Linked DNA regions of Oryctolagus cuniculus. The protein of the gene in region 1 purifies or fractionates together with the protein of each later gene. This does not show direct contact. Links are inferred from orthologs where the notes say so. Each region holds a gene or a part of one and is shown on either strand. Other genes may lie near its edges. The genes, in order: TRIM25 and MAVS.

What was found.
Region 2: the proteins of TRIM25 (region 1) and MAVS purify together in Homo sapiens (affinity purification with western blotting; 3 studies listed by BioGRID and IntAct, with this or other methods). This does not show direct contact. The link is inferred for Oryctolagus cuniculus from reciprocal best matches to the Homo sapiens genes TRIM25 and MAVS.

What each region holds. Positions count from the first base shown.
Region 1 is NC_091448.1:32,516,325-32,520,130, reverse strand, and holds part of TRIM25 (E3 ubiquitin/ISG15 ligase TRIM25), read left to right. Parts: intron 1-724; coding exon 725-820; intron 821-2,915; coding exon 2,916-3,149; intron 3,150-3,806.
Region 2 is NC_091442.1:29,181,220-29,185,025, reverse strand, and holds part of MAVS (mitochondrial antiviral-signaling protein), read right to left. Parts: intron 2,543-3,806; 5' UTR 2,463-2,542; coding exon 2,346-2,462; intron 1,399-2,345; coding exon 1,224-1,398; intron 1-1,223.

The DNA.
Region 1 (3,806 bases):
CCCCTCTCCAGATGGAATCCGAGAATGTCCAGTTTACATGAAGACTGGGGTTTGTAAGGGAGTGGGGTCCAGTTCTTCCCATCTGTCTCCTTCCGCTCGTCCATCTTCTCCTGGAAAGAGTTTTCTGGGTGAAATAGGTACAGTTCCTCCCAGGGTTTTATTCCCCAGTGTCATCAGGCAGGGCGGCCCACTTGGCGCTGGCAGGAGGGCAGGCGGGGATCACGTGCAGAGTTCTCAGGGCTATGGACAGGACTTTGCAGTGTGGAGACCCACGCTGCTGGAGGCTGCCCCCTTCCCTCCTCTGGTGCTTTGTTGACTTTAGGCTCCACACACACACACACACACACACACACACGGGCTGATCTCTAACTTCCTACCTGGCGAAGTCCCAGGTATGGGCAGGTGTGTTGTTCCAGGTAATCCTCCTTGATAGCCCTATGGGGTGGGAGCAGTTGTTTCTCTTTTATGGCCAATGAAACTGAGGTGGTGGGAGCTGTACAGCTGCAAACTGGGACTTGAGCTGGGTCCGTCTGACCCCACATCTGGTTCTCTGAACTTCCTTACTGTGCAGCCCCCCTAAAGGATGATGGACTGCTTCAGAAAGCTCTACACAGGCGAGACACGGGGTGGCCGAGCCCCTGTGGGATGGACTCAGGGGATGGCCCCTGGTGTTGGGGGTGAGGCTGACGAGGAGCTGTCTCACCCTTGTTTGTTTTCTCTGCAGAACAAGCTGAGGTACAAACTCACCATCATGTACAGTCAGATCAATGGGGCGTCGAAAGCGCTAGAGGATGTGCAAGCCAGGCAGCAGGGTGTGCAGGTGAGTGGCCAGGCCCTTGTCCACCACCAGGCGGGATGGGGGCAGCCCTGACCTTGACAAGGCTGGTGTTGGGTGCACTCACAAGCATCAGAATTCAGCACCAGCCTTGCAGAGCAAGCAAAAGCACTGTGTGCTCAGGAGAGACCCTTTGCAAACCCAAGTTGAAAACCACCCACAGGCCCAACCGTGGGGGAACCTTCAGAACTTGAGCTGGGGGTGGCTGCTGTGGTACAGTGGTTAAACCACTGCTTGGGATACCCGCGTCCCATGTCAGAGTGCTGGTTCGAGTCCCGGCTCCCCTGCTTCTGATCCAGTTTCTGCTAGTGTGCACCCTGGGAGGCAGCAGGTATTGGCTGAAGTGCTTGGGTCCCTGCTGTCCTCATGGAAGACCCAGAGTTCTGGGCTCCTGGTGTCAGCCTGGCCCAGCCTTGGCTGTTGCAGGCACTTGGGGAGTAAACCAGTGGATGGAAGCTTGCTTGCTCTCTTTCTCTTTCCCTCTCTGTGTGTTATTATGCCTTTCAAATAAATAAGCATAAAAAAAAAGAACTAAAATGTAGGAATATAAAGAAATGATTATGATCTGAAATGGGAGAAAAACAGGAAGCCAATATCCACTAGAGTTGCATCTTCCCTAAAAAGAGTGTTGTTTCCTGGGGCGCTGTAACAAATTGCCACAACCTTGGCGACTGAAACAAATGAAACTCATTCTTTCCCGGTTTTGGAGGCTGGAAGTCCAAAATCACAACGTGGGCGGGATCAGTTGCAGCATGGGTGGGGTCACACTGCTCTGACAGCTGTGACCGAGAGGCCATTTTTGCCTCTCCCAGCTCCAGCCCCTCAGGCTGATGGCTTTGTGGCTGTGTGGCTCCAGTCTCCCCCTCCTTCCCCTCTGTGTTTCCAAACACCTGTCAAATAAAAACAAAACACCTGTCTTTAGATTTAGGGCCCACCAGCATAATACAGGGTGATCTCATGTTGAGATCCTCAATTTAATTACATCTGCAAATACCCTTTACTGGGAGGCAGGTGTCGGGGGATAGGGAGGGAAGGCAGCATTGGATCCATTGCAGGGAGTATAGGAGAAAAGATAGGAAGGGAGAATTTTTTTAAAAAAGATTTTTTATTTATTTGAGAGGTAGAGTTACAGACAGAGAGAGGGAGAGACAGAGAGGTCTGTCATCTGCTGGTTCACTCCCCAAATAGCTACAGTGGCCAGGGCTGGGCCAGGCTGGAGCCAGGAGCTGAGAAATTCATCACAGTCTCCCACAGGCCCAGGTGCCTAAGCACTCAGGCCATCTTCCGCTGCCTTCCCAGGTGCATTAGCAGGGAGCTGGGACTCGAACCGGCGCCCACATGGATGTCTGTGTCTCAGGCTGCAGGTTGACCTGCTGCACCACAACGCTGGCCTCTGCTAACACATCTTGATTTGGACTAGCCACGTCTCAAGGGCTGGGAATGGAGCACAGGCACTCTGGTGTGGGATGCGGGCATCTTGACTGGCACTTCAGCTGCGAGGCTCAGTACTCAGCCGCTCCATGCATTTCTTTACGTGCTATCTCATACACGTATGCATTCTGTAGCAATCGATTCTGCCCTTCTGTTTGTTTCTCAGCTTTACATAAACAGCTGCTTCTCCAAGTCTGTGTCTTCTTCAAGTTGTTTTTCTCTCTTGGAGCTTTATCCCTGCATGGCTCCAGTTTATTAATCCTCATAACCATTTGGCTTTCCGTCCTGTGAACAGCTCTGTCTCAAGTCTTCTGCTGACAGATTTCCGGGTTGTTCCCAGGTTCTCGCTGTTTCAAAGCGTGTCACTTATGAACATTCTTGTGTGTGTCGCTGAGGCAGGTGTCAGGGCATTTTCCCAGAGTGCTTTCCTAGGATCGCAGCCACCGAGTCATTGGGCACAAATGCCTCCGAATTTCCTAGACTGCCTGGTTGCTGCCCAGGGTGGCTGTGCTGGCTCCTACTGCTACAGGGCACAAGTCAGAGTTTCTGGTGCTCTGCCTCTCACCCACCTTGGGATGGCAGCTGTAGCAATTTTTTTTTTTTTTTTTTTGCCCATCTCACGGTTCTTCTCTTGCCTCGGCCCTCTTAGGAGGCTACAAACAGGAAGATAGAGCAGCTGCGACAAGAATACCTGGAAATCAAGGCTCTCATCGATGCCTCGGAGGCCAGCTCGACTCGAAAGATAAAGGAAGAGGAGAAGAGAGTGCACAGCAAGTTGGACACCATTCACCAGGTGCTCCTCAAGAAGAAGAGCGAGATCCAGGCCCTGAAGGAGAAGATCGAGGACGGCCTCAAGGAGGGGGACGAGTTTGAGTTTCTGGAGGTGGGTGGCAGGGCCCGGGACTGCCGGGTCTCTTAGCGATACGGTGGGGCCTGGTGCCGTCGGGCTGCAAGAGGTCAACAGAAGTATCTCTGAGTTTGCTGGGTTGCGACAGGACTTCAAGAACGTACCGCAGCCCCAGGGCTTAGAGCTGCTCAGCGGCTCCCTGGCCCTGGAGTATGGGCATGGCTCCGTCTGCGCAGGAGCTCACGACGCCAGCATCTGGGGGCTGGCTGGGCTGCGTTCCTTTTGGAGCGCACATGGCGTGGCCGTTGTTGGTAGAATTCATTTCCTTAGGGTTGAAGGAATGAGGTCGCCCCCTCCTTGCTGGCTGTCAGCCAAGGCCTCTCCCAGCTTGGTAGCTTCCTTCCTCAAAGCTAGCAGGAGAGCTGCTCCCTCGAGGAAGGCCTGGTCCTCCTTTTACCTGATTGTCTGGCTCACCCGAAAAAATCCCCCTCTGGATGAACTCCAGGTCAACTGATTCGGGGTCTTCTTGTTGTTTGTTTCTTTTTTTTTTTTTACTTTTTAATTTTTATTTTATTTATTTATTTTTACTTTTTTTATTTTTTTGACAGGCAGAGTGGACAGTGAGAGAGAGAGACAGAGAGAAAGGTCTTCTTTTTGCCGTTGGTTCACCCTCCAATGGCCACCGCGGCTGGC
Region 2 (3,806 bases), on another chromosome or scaffold:
AAGTACCTGGCTCCTGCCATCGGATCAGCGCGGTGCGCCAGCCGCAGCGCGCCAGCCGCGTCGGCCATTGGAGGGTGAACCAACGGCAAAGGAAGACCTTTCTCTCTGTCTCTCTCTCTCACTGTCCACTCCGCCTGGCAAAATAAATAAATAAATTAATTAATTAAAAAACCTCACAGAAACGCATGTTATGGGAGCCAGCACTGTGGCATAGTGGGTAAAGTCACTGCATCCCATCTGGCCACTGGTTCGAGTCCTGGCTGCTGCTCCACTTCTGATTCAGGTCCCTGCTAATGCGCCTGGGAAGGTAGCAGAGAATGGCCCCAGTGCTTGGGCCCCTGAACCCATATGGGAGACCTGGAAGAAGCTCCTGGCTCCTGGTTTCAGTCTGGCCCTGCTCTGGCCATTGATGGCATTTGGGAAATGAACCAGCAGATGGAAGATCTCTCTCTCTCTCTGTCTCTCCCTTTCCCTCTGTAACTCTGCCTTTCAAAAGAAAAAAGAGAGAGAAAGAAAGAAAACAAAAGAGAGAAAGAAGGAAGGAAAGAAAAAATAAAAAAGAAAAGAGAGGGAGGGAAGGAGGGAGGGAGGGAGGAAGGAAGAAAGAAATGCATGCTATAAAAACTGCATGGATTTAATTTTTTTTGGGGGGGCACCAAGATAAACGTGTCTTTCAAACTGTTCTTTCCACGAGCTTCCTGAAGTCCCTTGGTATGAACAAGGCTGGTTCCCTCCCTCCCCCAGGCCCTCTCCTCTCCTGACCATGCCAAATGCCCCCAGCACCAGGGCCAGGAAGGGGCAGCGGAAGGGAGCTGAGAGGTAACGGAGCAGCCTGGGGTGAGGGCTAGAAGGCTTCCAGGGGGAGCAGGAGGAGGGGAAGTAAAGTGGAGAGAGGGAGGGCGGACACGTGGGTGTGGAGAGGAAGGAACCCGGAGGCCAGAAGCAGGCAGCAGGCAAAGAACACAGCCCGACAAATCAGAGGAGTCGGCCCCTTCGACACGCACCGTCCCGCAGAATCTGCCCAGTGCAGAAACTGCCATCAGCCCCATCTTACAGAGGGAAAGCCCAAGGCTCAGCCAGGCTCCACACTCGGGTTCACCCACAGATGGCAGGAGACGGGTGGGAGGGTGAGGACAAAGGCAGGAGGTACCAAGGAGGGAGAGGCGAGGGTAGAGAAGGCAGAGGAAGCAGGCAGGGTCTCGGGGCCAGGGCAGGACGCTCACGAGGCAGGTGGCGCTGATATTCGCCAGCCACTTGGTCAGCGAGCTCCGGCAGCTCGCAGGCCCTCAGGCCCCGGATGAAGGAATCCACCCAGCCGGTCCGCCGCTGCAGGCTGTTGAACAGGTCCCAGAGGGTGTCTCGGTTGCCCAGGCGCGTGTAGGAGGCCCGCAGCCGATCCTGGAAGACACAGCCCCGGAGTCGTGCTCAAGCCAGTTGTCGCTGGCTGCCTCTTCACCCAGCATGTGACAACTGCAGAGAGGGGCACCGAGAGACCCCAGTGGGGAGCAGCCATTGGACACTGGACCCTGGCCCAGGACAAAGCCAGGATCAGGGCCCTAGAACAGAATGAGGAAGAGCCATGAGCAGCAGCCAATAGCCAACGACCAACTGCAGCTGCCGGGAAGTGGACTCTGAGTGTCCTGTAATTAGCTCTCCTTTGCTGATGAGAAGCAAAATGTATTGCCTGCAAAAGCCCTGGGACCAGAAACCCCCCCCAGAGCAAAATGAAAACAAGCCACAAAACAGAAGCAAAACACAGAAAACGGTTGCTAAGCGATAAGGGATCTTCAAGATGCAACATACAAGAGGAAGGGGTCAAACCCCATCAGCCCTGAGACGCCTGAAGACAGGAGACCCCGAAAGAGAGCGCAGGGCTCCCATTGGAGACAGCAGCTGAAATGGGGAGGGGCGTTTTTCTCTGTGCTGGGTGCGGTTGGAACCATGGGGGCCCGTGGGGCAGGGTCCTGGGACGAGGAGAATGGAATCAAATCTGGGCAGGACAAGGACTAGAGGAAGGGAAGAGAGGGCTCCGAAGAACAGTGGGACCGGAGCCAGCCGAAGCACTACACGAAATCAAACACAAGAGGGAGCCGGGGAGGCTGGCAAAGCCAACCCCACCACACAGTGCGCCAAGTAGCAGGGACAAGAGGCGGCATACAGGGCCTGGGAAAAGTTTGCAGAAACATCAGAAAGACAAGTGTATGTAGGTGCAGGAAGGTTTGGAATCCACATGTGGGCGGTTTCCGAATATGCGTTTCCTAGGAATTTTTTGAAGACCCCTGGTCCACGAGGGGCAAGGAAGGAGCTGGCCCTGGCTGGGGTGAACCGGCGGGGGCTGGGCTCACCTGGTCATTTGCCGTAAGGCAGGGCAGGTAAGGCAGGATCTCTAGAACATCCACACGGCAGAAGCTGCTGTGGTGGTGGCAGATGTACTTGTAGGTCTTGTCCTCAGCAAACGTCATCGCCGCTCAAGTTCTGCAGACGGGGCCCTGGACTCGGCGAGCGCTATGGCCGAGCGCGATGGACTGAGAGACGGGGAAGACTGGAAGAGAGCAGAAGGCAAGGCCACGGGGCTGGGAGGGGCGGGGCAAAGGCATTTCTTTCCTGCTCAGCCTGCTGGAATTCTGCTTTTATCTTTCATCTTCAATTTCTTTCTTTCTTTTTTTTTATTTATTTGAAAGTCAGAGTTACACAGAGAGAGGAGAGACAGAGAGAGAGGTCTTCCATCCGCTGGTTCACTTCCCAAATGCCTTCAATGGCCAGAGTTGGGCCAGTCTGAAACCAGGAGCCAGGAGCTTCTTCCGGGTCTCCTACGTGGGTGCAAGGCCCCAAGGACTTGGGCCATCTTCTGCTGCTTTTCCAGGTCATAGCACAGAGCTAGACTGGAAGTGGAGCAGCCGGGACTAGAACCAGCGCCCATATGAGGTGCTGGCACTGCAGGCAGCGGCCTAACCTGCTACGCCACAGCACTGGCCCCTCAATTTCTTTAAATGTCCTAATTGCCTGGATCCTAGGGGCTCTCAAAGAATTTGCTCAACAATGAACTGAAGACCAAAAGGAGATGCAGGTGATGCAGGGCCCATGTCTGTCCTGTAGCTTGGTCGGTGCTGGAGCCTGTGCCCCTAGCACATGGAGGGGGTCTGCCTGTGCCCCTAGCACATGGAAGGGGGTCTGCCTGTACCCCCAGCACATGGGGGACGGGGCCCTGTCCATGACCCTGGCTCCCAAGTCTGTGAGTTGCTCCCAGCTCTAAGGCCCTTAGAACAATAGCAATAACTCCCCATCTTGAAGTACTGCTTCTTTGGGGTAGGTTGGGGGTGATGGTGGTGGAGGCCAATCTGATAGCAATAGGATCATCTAACTTTAAAGATGGAGAAAACGAGGTACCAAGAAGCCCAGGGGCTGCTGGACGTGGAAGAGCAAAGAGCCGGGACCCTCAGCACCAGGTTCTTTCCGGAACACAACTGTGGGCCGTGGCTGTAGCGTGCCGCGTGCCCATGCTTCCAGGGAGACTGCACCCCACCGCCCTGAGCTCGTGGGGGGACCCGGGACCCAGCATGCACCTCTTCCAAGATTCTTCCTCACCTTCAAATGGCTCCGCGAGCTTACTTTGACAGTCATCACTTGGCCCCACATGCTCACAGTTTTTAAAGTGCTTCTAATACAAGCCATTGCTTCAGCGGCTCTTAGCACAAGTCACACTCAGTGTTTGCTGGTTTCCTATTTGCCTCTCCCACCAGGAAGTGCTGCAGGGAGTAAGACAAACAGCCTGGGGCCGTTGCTGTGGCCCACGGGTTAAGCCAAAG